2 linked regions of the Caenorhabditis elegans genome follow. The protein of the gene in region 1 interacts with the protein of each later gene in a pairwise test. Each region holds a gene or a part of one and is shown on either strand. Other genes may lie near its edges.

Region 1 (10,592 bases):
AAACGGTAGCTCAGTTGTCAGTGTTCCACCAAGATCGTTTGATGAGAAATCAATGCTCCAATCTGCCACTGGAACTCGTACGGATTCGGCTTCTTTCAATTTTTCTAGTGTTTCTCTTGGTGAGATAGTTGAGGATGCACTTCATACTGCAAAGGATGTTGGTTAGTATTATTTACTGTTTCTTCTAGTTTTTAAAAATCTCAGCACATTGGGAAAACCGTTTCACTATCTTATTGACCAACTTTTTAATTTTCTTTCCAGCTGAAACTCAAGCTTCTCATTTGTTTGATGCTCTTCAAAACTCGGCTCAGAAATGCGGAGTTGCTCTTAGTGTAAGCGAATACGGTAGTTATCCTTGCAAATAAATTAATTTCAGGACCTGATGACCGCTGTCTCCACCAGCTCATATAGTCTTGAAGAGACTTACACTTCTCAACCAAAGTCTCCTGCCCATTAAATTTTTTTCTATTCGACTTTTTGTATTCAATGCATTTTTATTTATTTTTATAGTATCAGTAAAGTTTTAGAGTTGGAGTCATTTTTTTGGCAATCTGTTTCAAACAATGATACCCGCAGAACATAATACAATTTTAACGCTTTGTTACAAAATCTACTGTTTCAAACTGTTGATAAGTATAATAGAACCTTGTTTATGATAGTTAACTTCATAAATCGAATAATCGAATGCTTATTTTTCATTACCGGAAATTATTATATCAGAGGGGAAATAAATGGATTTGTGAAAAGAAGTAAAGCAGAGAAGCCAGTGGAAAAAGATAAATTATATTGATTCATAGTGAGAAGTACTTGTTAGTACCGACGAGACGAGTTGAGTGAAAATTCGTTGATTCGGACTTTTTGCTCAATTCCGAAACGGAAGATGCACTGGCCGCGGGTCTCGTAGATGGCAGCCTGGAAATAAAAGGTGTTCCAAGAAAAAAAGTGACTTGTCATTGTATAATAGAACTTAAAAATTGTGTAATACAAAATAAATTATCCGCTGTTTCAAACCTACTATTAAAGATTTTGATATAAATTAAAGAATTTGATATATTAAAGATTTTGATATAAAAAATTGGTCAATCCGTCATATGTATCAAAGTTTTTTTTTAATGAACTCTATACTTTTTCATATTGTAGACAAAGTAGGCGAAAAAATTTGAAATCTTAGTGAGCTATTCGATTCGATATACTTACAGGTCCATCAAAGCGGAATCCTTTAGCTGTGTAATCAGGCATTCCTCGGATGATATCACAGATATTTCCTTCGATAATTGTGACCAAACTGTTGTTTTCTTTCAAGTTGGTTACTGAAAATTAAATTCGATTACAAGGGAAATTATTTGTGGGTATATTGCCTGGTTACCTGGTAGTGAAATAGTTTTTCTGTTCTTTTTTCTATTCAAGCTTTTCAAATTGGAAGTTTAATTTTTCCCTGTTTTTACACACCTTCATATATTTTCTTCCATTGAATAATTTCAAAATGTTGTTTCCGTTTATTAGTGGTGTAGCACTAGAAGTGGAAGTGAAACAGTTGAATAGTCAAGGACCCTTGACAATTTATTCATTCATTCTCTTGCCAATTCAATGAAAATGTGTTAAATTTGCATGAAAAAGGAAAGAACTCACTTGTCACCAAAACTTTGCCACTCAGACGGTTTTCGATGCGGAAATCGCGAGTTACCTGGAAAAAAGGGTTTTTGACGGATGATGGGGTCGTATAAAGTTTTTTAAAGTTTAGTGACTTGACTAACACAAACTTATCAAAACTTCTCGGAAAGCATAATAATTTATTAACTGTTTGAAACGGCAAAACATTGTGAATATGTAGTAGGAATTTTAATTTGATTCAAGAAATCTTACATTAGACATTACATACTTAGAGTTTCTAAACAGTTGCATTCCTTTAAATTTTAGTCAGTAAAATACCTAATTACCGTTTTTTTTTGTTGCAATTTCACTTGCCTTATTATTTTTCAATTCAAATTTCTATATCTGTAAAAAATTAAGCTTTTGAAAATCATTACTTTCTATGAGCTAATTGAAACAGTATCAAAGAGGTTTTCATTGCTGAAAATTTCAAATAGGAACTATTCATCGATGAGAGCTTTCCATATAAAAATTTAATCTGTTCAGCTGATGTAAGTTTTCATAAAAATTTTCTATCTCGAAAATGGATTCATCATTCAATTTTTGCAACCAATTTTTTAAAAATCCTTTTAGAACATTTCTAATTACTGAAAAAGTAGTTTGAAGGTTTAAATTTGATTCCATCTCATTCAAACAATTTAAAAACTTACAATATCTTCAATAATCACGAGTTCAGCAACAGTTTCTGCACCTGGTGGCACCTTAACACAACTATCAACACCCCATGTCAATTCTTCTTCAGAAGTATTTTCTCCAATATGATTCAACATAACTTCTGTAGTAAATCCAGCATTTGCTTCCACAACTTCACAAGGAGTTTTCAGTTTCAGTGAAACTTCTGCTCCACGGCAAACTCCCTTTTCGATGATTACAGTTGAAGAGCTGCGAGTGCATCGTTCCGTTTTGAACGAATATTCTTGCTCGCGTTGAGTTGTATTCGTGAATGTCGTTTTGAAAATCACTTTCTCATCTTGTTTCTGAAAATTGAATATTCTTGTTGAGGTTGAGAGAGATGTGAATAAAATTTCTAATAACCGCTATTTCAATATTTTTCATTAGAAACAGTAAAATTTTTCTTTTTTTTAAATTTTAAAATCAAATTTCTCAATAATATGGAAGTTATTTTTTGTTCAGGAAACTTTGAAACGCACATACTGAAATTTGTATATTTTTATCGACAGTAAATTTTTCTAAAAGTTTTGATTCAAAAATTAATGATATGCCAAACCTATTCCAGTATAAAACTTTAAATGTAATATTTTTAATTTAAAAATAACTAACTGCATCGACAACATTCGGCTTTGCTCCAAGGATTGTGTATGTTGGCTCCGAGCATTCTTGAAACAGTTTTGTCCAGTTGATATTGTACTGAAAAATTGTTGGGATTATACGGAAATGCCCATGCGAGTTCTTTAAAACAACTTTCTTAAAATTATAACTAGAATTGTGAAAAGTGATTCAAAGACTAGATGTTTATTAAGTAACTCTCGTTGTAGTTAAAACGTTTCAAAACCACCATGAAACATACTCCAGTTGTATTTTTTAAATACTGTTTCGCATTTCCCTCAAAATATTCTTTCTCGCTAGGAATTCTATACCCTCAAGGTGTGTAACTCGTAAATCAAGAAAGCGGGTGGTATGTGTGACTGTTGTTCCTATACACACACCCTGAGCCTTTGACACCTTCGTGCCGACTTCATTTACATTTACACTTTGGGAGCATTGTTGATGATGAGGTTTTTGAGAAGTTGGTGAAGATGAGAGTAATAGTTGATTCTGATTTTTGTTCGTTTTCGAAAACGCTAGGAAAAGTTTGCAGATTAATTTATCTCGTTATTGGAGTCAAAACAAATATGAAGTTTTAAAACCATGTTGAAAATGATTTTTTGTCATTTTTTTATTCAATCATAAATATTTTAATTTGATTTTTTTTTTCAAAATTATATTCAATCATTACAGTCCATTTTTTACCATTAAAAATATATATCAACAACAAATATTTTTGGCGCCTCTCCAGCCAGCTTTAAGTTCTAGAAAACTGTTCAAAAAAAATTGTAGAAAACTGCCGATAATTCGGTGAAAACCCTGACAATTTCCTTTTGCTGGGTACTTTTTTTTTGAGTTTTATAGCACAACGAGAATAAGTTTATACAGAAAAATTAAAGAAGTTTTAAAAATTATTATTACTGTTTCAACATGTTTTCATCAGCTTTGTACTTCAGCCAGGAAAATGTTGAAATTGCTTCACAAGATTCTTCCCTTCAGATTTTAGTAATACATCCTATTTCCCATTCTCTATATCAATTTATTCACTTTGGCGGGACCTCATTGTATTCAAATAAATGAAACCATATGTCGGTTCCCTTGGGTGATTTTTGTCATTCTTTCTTTCTCTCTTTCCCTTTTCAATTTCTCTTATCCCGCATGAGCATTCTTCAATTCATTACCCCCTTTTCACTTTGAACGGATTAAACACACACATGGGACCTCCCAAAGGCACAACCTATCAATTTTCATGCTCAATTTCCTAACGGAGGTGCCAATTTCCTCTTTCCGTAATTGGATCGATGGTGACAAACTGAGCATAATGAATGGAAATGCTCACCGATAAATATTTCTTCTTGATTTTTCCCTCCGCTTTGCTTTTTGTCACATCAAACATTGTCTTTGCCCAATTGGTAACAACTTCTTCCAAATCTATCAGGTCGGATTTTGCGGCGTCCTGGAAAAACTCAATTTGTTTTTATAGGGTGCAATACATGCTATAAAATTTTTTTTTCAAAACTTTTCATTAAATTGAAAATTAAGAATTCAAATGGGTTAAAGCGGTAGTTTCTGAAATCAAAATGTATACAAAACTTGATGAAACAGTCCATTTAATTTTTATAAAGGTTCATTTCTTACAGGTGTTTCTAACAGAATTAACATTCCTGAACATTTTTAACTTTTGCTCTTTCATTAGAATCGCAGAGAATTCGAAAAAAGGAGCAAAATGTAAACTTACAAAAAATAAAATTATTATCAAAATATGTTGAAACTGTAGAAAAATGTAAAACTTGATAATTTAGCAAATTAACAATATTTCATGTTTAATAGATTAAAAAATTTTTTGAGTATTTTTTTTCTTATTTGCAACAAAAATTGAATGATTTTTTTAAGAGAACGATTTCTCAAAACCTTAAAAATCGAATTCCAAACTGCTTTTGGGCTCTTAATATATGTTTAAAATTAATTTTATCACAAATTGCATCCGTGAATCAATGAAACTGATTATCATATTATGATAAAAACTTGTTGAGACAGTACAAAAAAGTTGTAAATTTGAAATTCTGTCAATGTATTTTTACACATTTTGCGGCATATATTTTTGCTGATAAAGCGAGCGAACAAAAAATAATGAATTCGTAAACTTTAAATGTGCTCATAAAATAACTAGGCTCATGAAAAAAATGCAAACACTCTTGGAAAAATATCAAACAATCTGTGTATTCGGTGACTATTTCAGCTTAGAGATTATATTTTTTGCAAGAATACGGATCAAAATTGAATTGTTATGTTCAGATGAGCAATAATTTCATGTTCAATCAGTTAAAAATAATTAATTAAATGATCCTTTTAATATTGAGGTATTTCACGTTTTTCATATTTTGAAGAACATAACTTTTAAAACTGCAAAGATAAAAATATACACCTCAAAAATACAAAACTTATGAAAAAATGTTGAAACTGTAAATTAATTTCGAATAACACAAATTCGCTTGTTTACAGAATCCCACAAAAGTATACGTAAAAAATAAAAACTATCTTCACAAAGTTATAAACTTTAATTAAATAGTGTTGATACAATATTTATAACACATTTCAAGTGTTCAAATTTTCAGCACAAGCTGTATTCTTCCGTTCACTTAAAGAAAAAAATATATGCATGAATTAATGAAAGCTTAAAAAATCGCTGAAACTGTGAAGAAATTTTAGGTTTCGCTATTTTTAATATATATTTTCAAATTAAGAATTAAATTCAAATACTTACATTTCCTTTCACAAAGCTTTGTGGCTCATTTGCTCTGTTCGATTTCAGCATTTTCTCCTGTTCTGGACTAAAAGCCGGTGATTTCTGTGGAGATATGCAACCTGGAATTTATTGATCATTAAGTTTTCAGAATAGATGAGTCAGAAACATATTTCAAAATATTCTGAGTCTCTCTTCTCTCTTCATTTTTCAACCGAATCAATAGTAAATTGCGCGTTGCAATTCTGCGTCTAAATTTTTTGAGCGCTATTTCACTAGAATGCACGAGAAGACGGAAAAACGTCGCCGCTCTTCTCTGGCTCCCCTCAACTACCGTAATCCACGTTTATTTTTCTCTGCGTCTCAGAATCTCTAGTTCAGAGGATTCAGGCACATGAAAACGTGGGAAACAAAATCGGAAATGTATATGTGAAACATGGAAAAGGAGAGAATTTCGGAATAATTAGAACTGGGACTGGAGAGAGAGAGAAAGGTGAAGGCTACAATTAGGCAGGTATTCAGGTAAAGAAGAAGAAGTAAGTGAAAGTTTCCTATTTGAGAGAAGGGAGAACTTATATTTCTTACTAAAGCTTTTGAAAATAGTACGGTAATATATATTTTTCTCAGCAAATGAAATAAAATTTCAGTGAAACAGAAATTTTTTTAAATTCCGCTCACTTTTTTCAACGTTTTTCAAATATTTGTTTCCAAACATTTAAAATTGTTGTTATGGTAATTGAATTTTTTCTGAAACTGTAGAAAATGTATTATAAAAAGCAACTCACTTTCATCACTCATCATAGCAAAAATTTTTGCGTTTCTTATGAAAAGCTCTGCTCATTTTAACCTATACTGTTTGTTTAGTTTTTTTCACGGTTTTTTTTGTTTTAAAGTTAAAGCCAGCAATACTGTTGTGAAATTTTCCAACTTTCCTAGAAGACATCATAATGTGAAATTTTTCGAAAAAAAATTACAGTTTCATTCATAGAATATCATTTTATTTTTTGAAATTAATTCAATCATCTCGATGTGTGGGATCGACTGGCCGAAAAATTTCAAGAACATTTTGAAAACTTCAAAACCTTCCTCTTCACTTCCACTTTTGTTTAACGTTGTTTATAAATCAGATTACTGTACTCTGATAGAAAACGACACAGAGAGAGAGAGAGAGTATAAGAAAGAAGAGACGCAAAGAAATATTGCGAGGGATTTGGCACGGTACAATTGCAACGCGGTTCGGTTTGCCCTCTCACAAACAATTGAATTTATAAGCTCATGCCGAGAGAGAATAGAGACACACAAATCACTTTTTAAATCAATTTTTTGAAATTCCAATGATGATTCATGATTACACTATCCACTGTTTCATGATGTTTATAAAAACTCGTAGGTTTTATTTAACATATTGAGTAGTTGATGTAAAAAGTTTCTGCAGTTGAATAAAAGAAAATTACACCAATTGAGTATTATATATTTAGGTTAGTTGAGACGTTAAAAAAAGTTCTGCTCCAAATAAAACATTTTTTGGTTAAAATTTCAATGAATGCAGACACTGTGCGCTTAATTCACATAAAAAAAATTTTAAATTTAAAATCAACAAACTTACTAAACATTTTTTTATCGAAATTGATTTCCAAAAAAAATTCGATGATTCAGACGGGCAATCGGGGGACACACAAACAGGAGGAGTCTCTGTGAATCGAAGCCCTCCGCCGGGTTTCACATGACGACTCCGCCTACTTTGTATGCCTGCCAGCCAATCGTCGATGACTTCTTTGCCTCTTCTTCTCTTACTTATTTTCATTTTTCCAGGGATTCAAGCTGCTCGAGGGGGCGATGTTTTTATTTTCCCTGTAGAATTGATTGAGATGTATTTTTAAAAAATTAATAGTAAAAAAGAGGAATTACTAATACATACTTTAACCAATATTCGAAAAGCTAAGTGAATATAATTTTCGTATTTTTTTTTACTGTTTCAAAATTAGAATATAATTGAAGTAATTTTTGAGAAAATAATTCGATTTTTGTAATCATAATGAGTAATGCTCAACAACAAGTCGTTTTGTATTTAAAATAATTTCTGAAATATTAGCTAAAGTGAATCCATCAGCGATTGAGAACGGAAAAAAAACAATTCGAACTATTTTCGGAATTTTTTTTGCTGTTTCAGATGTTAAACTAAAACCATTAAAACAAATGCCAAGTTTGATAATTTCTTGTAAACACTTTTCATATGTTTCTAATACGTTTCTAATATATATTTAAAAATATGTATTGGTAAGCAAATAATAGTTTGGGGAATTTCCTTCATTCGAGTTTGGCCAAAGTTTTTTACCGAAAAATCGATTTTCGTAATCTTTAGTTCAATTGTAAGATTTTTGACATACTACATTGTTTTTATTTATCAATGAAAAATTATTACAAAAATTGGTTTTTATAAATTGTCGTTTTGTTTTCATATATTATAGGTCTTACGTCCCACAAGTCCTGAAAAAATTAGGAGAACACGGCGAACAAGATGTATTTTAAGCTCTTTCCGGAAAGGTTTGAGTTTTAATTTTTATAGTTTAAAAGTTCATTCAACCACTTTATGAAACATTTGAATTTTTGAATGTGTTTTTTTGAAAACTTTCTGAAACCTTCTAAACTATATTTGCGAGGAATTTTTTTTTACAATCTATCCCTTCACACTTTTTACTGTCACCACACACCCAAAAAACCGTGAAATTTATGAGTCAGAACACAACGACGGAAACATGGAATGGGACAAGGACACCAACGAACACGCAATCCTGAAAAAAGTTAAAAGTAATATCTTCAGAACCTCCCTGAAATTTATAAAGAAACTGAAACATGATATGTGATAACTTTGCAAAACAATGTGAAAATTTTAAAACAAAAATACGAAAAACCAAAAAAAAAGAGTGAAAAAATAGTGGAAAGATTATTCAAGCTTTGAAAAAATGAAGCGTATTCATGAAATTTATAAAACGGTCAAAAACTTTAACCAACGTTTTATTTCAATAATGCCTAAAAGCATCGAAAAGTTATCCATTTTTTAATTTACATTTCAAACGTATTCTTCAAAAAAAATTTCTTAACGTGTGTAGCTCATTAAATGGTTACTGAAAAGTGACCTATCATGTCTTGGAAGGGTTTCAATCAAAAATATCAAGAACATTTCTACTAGAAAAAAGTGAAAATTATGGCCCAAATTAATTTAAACATATTTATGAAAATAGTGAAACGGTAATTTTTTCGACCAATTTTTTGTTTCAGTGGCGCCAGGATATTTCAGACTCACAAAAAAATGACCCAACATCAGGAACACCTTTGGAGTTTCATTTGAAGTTTTTTTTGACATTTGACAACATCCATAGACAATCATTTGATTAGCGACATTGGCATATATCAAGAACCTGAAAACTGTCATGTTAAACACTGAAAAAATAGTTGGCCTAACCATCCTGAATTTTATCAAAAACCTGAAACATTTTATTTAATAGTTTTTTATACAAAAATCAGTGACGTCGTTCGTTTATCAATTTACTAAGAAATATTTTAGAAAGATACCAATATTTCAATTTTAGTCAATTATTTTCGCATTCTCTATCGAACAGTTGTCATTTTAAATTTCAACTTTAAAATGTTTATTAGTAGTAAAACAATCTCATAGATTTTCATAAAAAATTTTATGATAAAATAGTGAAACGGTAAAATTTTTCAACAAATTCCATTTCAACGTCACCAAAAAAAATTTAGATTTTCAATATGTGATCCAGTATCGGGAACAACTTATAAATTACGTTTTGAATAAATGTTATGTTTCAGACATTTAATAAATATACCATAGTCAACTAAAATTCTAAACAGAATGATAAACCACCACAAAATTTATCAAGAACCTGAAACTGTTTTCAAAAAAAGTGAATGTTTTTTTTTTTTTTAACTTTCATTCTATTAATCAACCAAAAAACTCCTAAGCGTTTTGATATTTGAAAGTTGTTCCAAATAAATACCGAGTATTTATATAACAGTTCAAGGATTGAGAGCTACTTTCATGCTCAGTATACGTTTTTTTTCAAAGAGCTTAAACTCCAAAATAAAAGATTTATCGTTCGTTCCACTGTCCTATCAGTTAGAATCAAATCATTTGCATGTTTACTGAACTTATGAAACGGTAAAATTTTTCTGCCGATGTTAATGCTGCCTGTCAATGTCAAATCTTCAAACAAGGGACCACATATCGGGAATTTTCATTTCAAATATATTCTACCACTCGGCCGGCAACAATCATAATAATAATAATTGAGCAAAGCAAACATGTCGGCTTTTTCTCCTTCACAACCAAAGAAGGGAACGCGTAATAGAATGCGGTGTGAAATAATACATTCTATATATGTTTCTGTTCTCCCCTCATTCCCACTCTGTCCTCATTTCTACCTGCTTGTCGAAAACCTGTCAAGCTCCGTTTATTTGTGTTGGCTCATAAATCTACTTTCTCTCCAAAGAGCAATTGAGCCAATTATAACATTTATGCTCATGCTGGAGAGGAAAAAGCTTTTGGAAGGGAAATCTCCCATGGGGAAAAGGTGAAGAAGAAGAAGAAGTGATCAACAAATTAGAGACAATTTTAGGATTTAGTAAGAGAAGAGGAGGGAATGGAAAGGATACGTCAATTAGCGGATTATGAAGAATGGGGCATCAGAAGAAGAAGATGAAGAGATTTGAGAGTTTTGGATGAAAAATTGGAAAAGGGATTGAATAGATACGAAGGTTAATCTACTGCAGTTCTTAAGGTTTTTCAAAAGGGGACGTTTAAAATAGTGTGCAATGTATATTGAAAAAGTTCATTATAAATGCAATAAACCACTGCAATTCAAGCATTAAAAATGTATCCATCCATTGCTGGAATCTGTTGAAAATATTTTTA
Region 2 (6,601 bases), on another chromosome or scaffold:
CAATTCTCCACATGGTTCTCTTGTATGGCGATGTTTGGGTTGATACATTTTTCTGTTTCAATGCGGCTGCACATTGTTTAATCAATTTTTCAATGTCACGGAATTATAGATCAACTGTGATGAAAGCGTTGCATATCGAGAATTGATGGTTCGATTTTTATTTGGGGCATTATAACTTTATATTCCGGACCATTTGTAGAATCGCTTTCAATTGTATCTTGTTTTTTTGATAAAACCCCAATTTCTTCCATAGTCTGCTAATATATACGTGATTTGCAACTACGATTCAATTCAAAAATATTATGTTTTTTCGAGTCCTGAACTTTTTCTACCTTATACACTAATTTACGATATAAATTCCTCCTTCCTATTTTTCTAGAGTTTAGAGGTTCGTAGATCCACTTCAATTAATTTGAACTATTTTCTAGAATATAATTTTGCATTCAGTGGACAAAGTCAAAAACATAGCTTCAGATCAGGAAACTATTGAGCAAAAAATATTTTCCTTAATAGTATTTTGTCGTAGTAGTCTTGGTGTAAAGGTGTGGTAGATTCAGTCACGTGGTGTCAGGCTGTCCCATTACGGGTTGATCTACGAGAAATCAGGAATTTCTCGAGCATAAACATGCTCTCAACCATGCGGAATCTGCTGAGAAGTCTGCGTCTAAATTTAAGAATTTTTTGTAGATTGTACCGATATGGGACACTCTGACACCATGTGGTCAGTTCCGTCAAGTATACAAATGAACCAAAAATACTGAATATTTATTTTTTAATCACTAGCATGTTTCACACTTTTTGTAATTTTCAGTATGTTCTTAAAGTTAGTTTAAACTTTATCACATTAAGCATTCTTGTATGTTCGAAACCCTACAAATCAATTACAAATTAATTTAATGTAATCCAAGTTAAAAGTTTTTTGGTCAACCTTCAAAACTATGAAATGTGAAAACTGAGTCATTTCTACCGTTGTGAGCATCATATAGTGATTTTAAAAGTTTTTACTATTGGCGTTTCACCAAATTTAAAATGGACTTTTAGTCGTTGAACAAAGTTGATATTTACAATAGAATTATCTAAAAAGAACCAATTATATCCTTTGTCGTTGATCTATGATTTCATTTTAAGTGACAATTATTGAGTCAGTGAGCAAAGTAACAATTTGTAACGACTATATTTACTCGAACTGTGTTTCTATTTACTTCTTGTAGACAGTATATAAATGTCTTACAAGAATCACTCTGAATTTTGTGTTCACAATGTTTTCAATTACATATATTGCTCTTTCTGTTTTCTTTTTGATTCATTGCTCCGATGCTTTACTCAATGTTATCGGAAGCACTCAAAGTGTTACTGTAACGGGAAAATTGGTTTGTGAAGGACAGCCAGCCAGTGGAGTTCTCGTGAAGATGTATGACGATGGAACGAGTAAGTTATTATTTGGAAGAACTGTTTTGAAACAATTGATTTTTTCAGTATATGACTCGAAATTAGGTTCGACGACCACCTCATCTGATGGAACATTTTCTGTTTCTGGAACATATACAGATATTTTAACATTGGATCCAAAAGTGAATATATATCATAGTTGTAATTACAATGGACCATGTTCAAAGAAAGTGACAATCAATATTCCTGATTATGCAGTTGCATCTGGAAGTAGCTCGACTGATAATTATGATATTGGAACTTTGAACTTAGCTAATCAGTTCAGTGGAGAAACCACTGATTGTATCCATTGAATGTGTACTTCCTAATAAATTTGTTTCTAGAATAATTGAAATGGGACATCTAGGAAGAGTGAATTCAGTTCATTTTTAAAATTGTAACTAAAAAAGCAGTAGCGCAAAAAATGCTACAAAAAATGAATAGAATGAGTGGGGGCACCTGGAAGAAGAGAAAAAAGAGGATCTAGAGTATTTTTGGAGACAAAAAGGTTCACTTAGTGAACAAATATTCAGAATTGTACAATTTCAACTATGTACAACTATTATCAACCCGGAGCAAAATGTAAACACACGGGTACCTAGGAGGAGAGGGCAAAGAGAGAGAGAGTGAAAAAAGACTACAAAAAAGAGGTCTACACAAAATATACAAGATAATTGGGAGGGGGGGGGGGGGGTGGCAGTAAAATTTAGAGATTTTCAGACTAACAATTATCATTGGGTGCACGGAAATACTTTTAATACTTCTCCCATTCCTTTGGTTTTTCCTTGACGAAGAATAATTGGTGATCCTTCACGAATGACTTCTGGTTGATAGGCGAAACACATTTTAACTACAGCCCATTTTCCTGGACGGATGCAGTCTGCATCGTCGATGTGAGTAATAATGGCAGTTGTACAGACACTTCCGATAAACACTGAAAAAGTTCATAAATTATTTCAGAAAAAATCAAAACTGAAAGTTGAAATGAGAAAAAGTACTCACCTGTGGCTTGAAATCCTTCGCATATGTATTTCGTCGAGTGACACAGCAGTAAAAGATTGGCAGTGAATTCGTAACAAACTGGTGGTTGATGATCGATTTCAGCAAGAACCATTCCCTTTAATGAAAATAATCAATATGTTTCACATTTCGAATGATTTTTCTGTGGAAAAAAATACTTACCCTTCTTAGACTGACACCGTCTGGAAGATTCAAGGATATCGATGCAGCTTCACCAGGATTAACACATCCTACGGCTTGCCGGCTTCTTCGAATCGACCCGACAGTAATTTTTTCAAAAGTTCCATCTTTCATGGGTCCAACAAGAACATCTGCTCCTTCATGCAATTGTCCTTCAGATAGCATTCCTCCAACTACTTGTCCAACATGAGGCACATTATATAGTTCCTCGATTGTGAAAAAGGCTGGGAGTCCAACTAGTTGAATACGTGACTCTGCAGTTCCAGCTGTAGAAAGGCAATTGAGAAGTGTTCTGAGACAACGAAAACCTTCTCCGCTCACTGAACTAACAGCAAGAACTGGTACGATACTACCAACGCAGAGTTCTTGTGCCGCCTTCACTGCGTCTCTTTTAGTTTTCACTCTTTTCTCGCGAGCTGTCATCCCTGCTTTCGCAACAAGATTGGAAACATCTTTGATGATTTTCTTAAGTCCTTGTCGATCGACTAGATCCATTTTTGTGATCAGTACAAACATTGGAATGTTTAAAGCGGCAATTAATCCAAGATGTTCACGAGTGGCCCACGTGATTCCTCGATCGGCGGCTACAACAAGGCAAGCGAAATGAGGAGTGTATCCGGTTAATCCATGAATTGTCGTTTTCTGATATTTTGCGTCTCCAGCCAGATCGATAAGTGTTACAAGTTTTGAAGACTTCTCCACCATTTCTTCGAGACTATTTTGTGCATAATTGACTAGCTGAAAAAAGTAAAAATTAGATATTTATAAATAAATTTAAAAAAATCGAATTTAAGTTTTTCAAATAAAATTTTTCTAAATTCATTGTTTTTGTATTCAAAAGTGGAGTAGAATCATTTTGAAATTTTGTTTTGAATGAAAAAAAAATTGACCGTAATAATCGATTTTAATTGATTTTAAAAGTTATAAAATCTTTCTAACTTTTTAAATTTTTATTTTTGATAATTGGGCGGGAATTCAAAAACAGATTTTTATTTTTTTATTTTTGCAAAATTGAAAAAATTATAAAAATTTTATGATTTTTTGAAACAATTATATTCGGTATTACCGTCCATTTTTTTAATTATTTAAATCAAAAACCCTAATAAATAGGATCCAACTTTAAAATTTTCAATAAAGAAATTATCTACAATTTAATCAGTTTACTGTTTTTTTTTTTAAATATTTTCAAGCATATTTTAACCCATTCTGAATGTTTCGAAAAATTTCTAACCTTTCCACGATTATCGAAGCCAATGACATCATTACAGACAGAACTGGTTTTTCCTGTTCGCACTTCGTGTGGAAATCTGAATATTCCAATTCTTGCTTTTCCGTTTCCGTCGTCCAGACAACCCTGTGTTAACACTCCACACAGTGTTGATTTTCCGACATCGCATCCTCCAACGACAGCAAGACGAACTTCGATGAATTGCTGGCTTTCAGGAACCTTTCGGACAAGTACCTAGAAAAATAATTTCATTTAGATAAAATATGACTCAATAATAATTACCTCGACTACAGTTCTCCGTGAATTTGATCCCTTAACAGTAACGTCTTTCTCGGTCAAAATAACCATACTCGCCCCAAGAGCTTGGGCCATCGTTCTCAAGGTCCGAAGTGAATCATTCAGTTCCTCGTCTGTTAATCCAGACATTATTCCACCATCCTCAACGCCAATTTCATAAATAGCCTCTCCTTGACCCTCACGAAGACGCCATTTCATTTGAGTGATCAGATGTTGTATACGAGATGTCGTTGGATTTACTAATTTTGCTTTGTACTCAATATTTCCAAGCTCCGTTTCAGGTGGCAATCGGTTTTCGGTGTCGGAGTCGGAACATTCATCGTTAGTTGGCAGTGAAGAGCTGAGAAGTGTTGGTCCATTTTTAGAGTCCGATATTGATTGTCGTCTGTAAAAAATAATATAATATACTACCTTAAATGATTTGGCGACATTAAATAAATTGAATTGATTTTATATCAATGTTTTAGAATTGATTTATTTTTTATAAGGAATTTAAATAAATGAATTTTGATTTTAGAAATAAAATTTTCAAATGTTAACCACACAATATTTATCGTACTCACCTAGTTTTGTAAAGTGGCTGATGATTCTGCTCATCGCAGAAATGTGAAATCATAAAATCCATAGTGAGATTGAGTTGTTTATTATTTTATGAAATGAGATAATCAGTTGGATAACTACTGCTCACGCCGTATTCGATCTATCATTCGATTCTCCGATTCTGGAACATCAAATTTTAATCATAGGGAGAGAGGTTCGGGTACTTGAGAAAAAAATGTCGTGTTTCGAGAGGTTTTGAAAAGTCAGTTGTTAACTGGTTCGGTCAACATGTAGAGATTGTAGAGAAATATGAGAACTTAGAGAATTGACGTATGAAGAGAAAAAAGTGGGAAAGGGGAGCCGCTGTTGTTTTCGAAAGAAGAAAATAAGACAGAAAAAATCGGAGAGGAACATAACAACAAGTTAAGTTGACTTTTGAACTGGAAATTTGTCAATATTGAAAAAAGGAACAGTGAGAAATATCGATTTCCACGTCGCTCGATTCTATGAAAAGAAATTATGCACACACAAGCTTCACAGTGAGCATGCTGAATGATTGAGCAAATACATGAGAGAATAAGAGAGGAATGAGATGAAAAGAAGCGTTCAAATCAAAAGAAACCAGACAAAATGGCGATTTTTTACGGGAATATGAACCTACTGATTGGCAGTGGACAGCTGGAAGAATAAGAAGATACTGAAGGAAGGTTGAAGTTGAAGCTTGGAAGACAGATGATGAGAGAGAGGAAAACCTGTTTCTTTTTGATTACGATCGGACGGAAATGAGAAGGAAGTAAGTGTTTTCACACGTAGGTGGGCATTGAGATCTTTGAAGGTGCATTCGACAGGTTAATAATCATTCTAAATACCAGGTGACAATGGAGGATACTTTTAAACAGTAAATATATTGGAATAAAACATAAAAGTTAGTCTTACTCAGAATTTCTAAAATTTCAGCCTTCTGGAACGAAAGGTAAAATCATAATAATAATACAAGTGGGGCTGTTAGTAGCCCTAAATACAAGTAAAATGACCGAACACAGCCGTTAAAGAATGTTGCAGAAAATTGCGAAATATTTCCTTACTCTTAAGAACAACATTCGATGTGACGCAATATGATGCATTTCCTTAGACAAAAACGTTCAGTTCAAAATAAACAACAATAAAACCGTTTGTACGATTTCTAGAATACGAGTTTATCAGTTGTTCGGAAAATATCTTATCAATCGTTTGACTGATGTTTTTTAACCATGTGAGAATTTGAAAAAAAATTTCATGATTGCCAAAAATTAAAATAAACAGGAAGCTTTTACCGAGTTTTCGTGATTTTCAGAATGAAGAAATTAATATGAAGCTCAAAATCAAAAGCAGAGGGAAAAGAAAAAATCGAAATCTTCTTTCGGTTAAACAACACGCGCTTGCGGAACTTCGGAGCATCGTATTTTGTTTTTGCGCTCTATTTTTGAATCGGAAACTGTTTTTTTGTCAGTTTTCGAAATTGTTTTTTTTCTGTTTTTTTACTTCATGCAAGAGTTTAACTTTACGCAAAAATTAATTAAAAATACGCAGAAGGCCCACTTTACACAGGAATTAATTGAAAATACTCAGGAATTTCACTTTACTTAGTCCTTTTTCCAGAGTTTCCAACGGAATCAATATATTAATTTAATTTCGCAACATTTTTCTTTGAATAAACCTATTTGCAAATGAGAATGTTTCAGATATTTGCTTATCGAAGCCTGGGAATTGCTTATGGCGAAATTTTTACGCGTAAGTCTGCAAATTTATTTTTACTCTGAAAATACTAAATTTATGAAAATTTCAGCTACACATCAGAGGAATTCGAAGTGTCGGTGATGAGGACCACGATGTTCACAAAATTGATTTCCTCTCTCCGTGCACACTAAT

What was found. Proteins that work in one complex are often made in the same cells at the same time.
Region 2: the proteins of lntl-1 (region 1) and slfl-5 interact in a two-hybrid assay, tested with the Caenorhabditis elegans proteins (2 studies listed by BioGRID).

What each region holds. Positions count from the first base shown.
Region 1 is NC_003282.8:5,799,701-5,810,292, forward strand, and holds lntl-1 (LIN-24 (Twenty-four) Like), read right to left. Parts: upstream 7,394-10,592; 5' UTR 7,273-7,393; coding exon 7,266-7,272; intron 7,087-7,265; exon of another isoform or gene 7,065-7,086; intron 6,700-7,064; exon of another isoform or gene 6,679-6,699; intron 6,371-6,678; exon of another isoform or gene 6,350-6,370; intron 6,270-6,349; exon of another isoform or gene 6,249-6,269; intron 5,782-6,248; coding exon 5,681-5,781; intron 4,908-5,680; exon of another isoform or gene 4,886-4,907; intron 4,373-4,885; coding exon 4,256-4,372; intron 4,001-4,255; exon of another isoform or gene 3,980-4,000; intron 3,906-3,979; exon of another isoform or gene 3,885-3,905; intron 3,535-3,884; exon of another isoform or gene 3,392-3,534; intron 3,131-3,391; exon of another isoform or gene 3,106-3,130; intron 3,019-3,105; coding exon 2,932-3,018; intron 2,672-2,931; exon of another isoform or gene 2,648-2,671; intron 2,628-2,647; coding exon 2,301-2,627; intron 1,764-2,300; exon of another isoform or gene 1,743-1,763; intron 1,685-1,742; coding exon 1,630-1,684; exon of another isoform or gene 1,311-1,629; coding exon 1,198-1,310; intron 1,193-1,197; exon of another isoform or gene 1,172-1,192; intron 1,071-1,171; and 5 more. Other genes in the region: C31H1.1 (DUF148 domain-containing protein), read left to right, coding at 1-161, 262-332, 377-457.
Region 2 is NC_003283.11:12,240,171-12,246,771, forward strand, and holds slfl-5 (Tr-type G domain-containing protein), read right to left. Parts: upstream 4,875-6,601; 5' UTR 4,861-4,874; coding exon of another isoform or gene 4,831-4,860; 5' UTR 4,779-4,830; coding exon 4,717-4,778; intron 4,539-4,716; coding exon 4,139-4,538; intron 4,091-4,138; coding exon 3,860-4,090; intron 3,367-3,859; coding exon 2,611-3,366; intron 2,546-2,610; coding exon 2,431-2,545; intron 2,363-2,430; coding exon 2,160-2,362; 3' UTR 1,801-2,159; downstream 1-1,800. Other genes in the region: ttr-22 (Transthyretin-like family protein), read left to right, coding at 1,260-1,428, 1,477-1,742; rad-50 (Zinc-hook domain-containing protein), read left to right, coding at 5,476-5,486, 6,415-6,463, 6,519-6,601.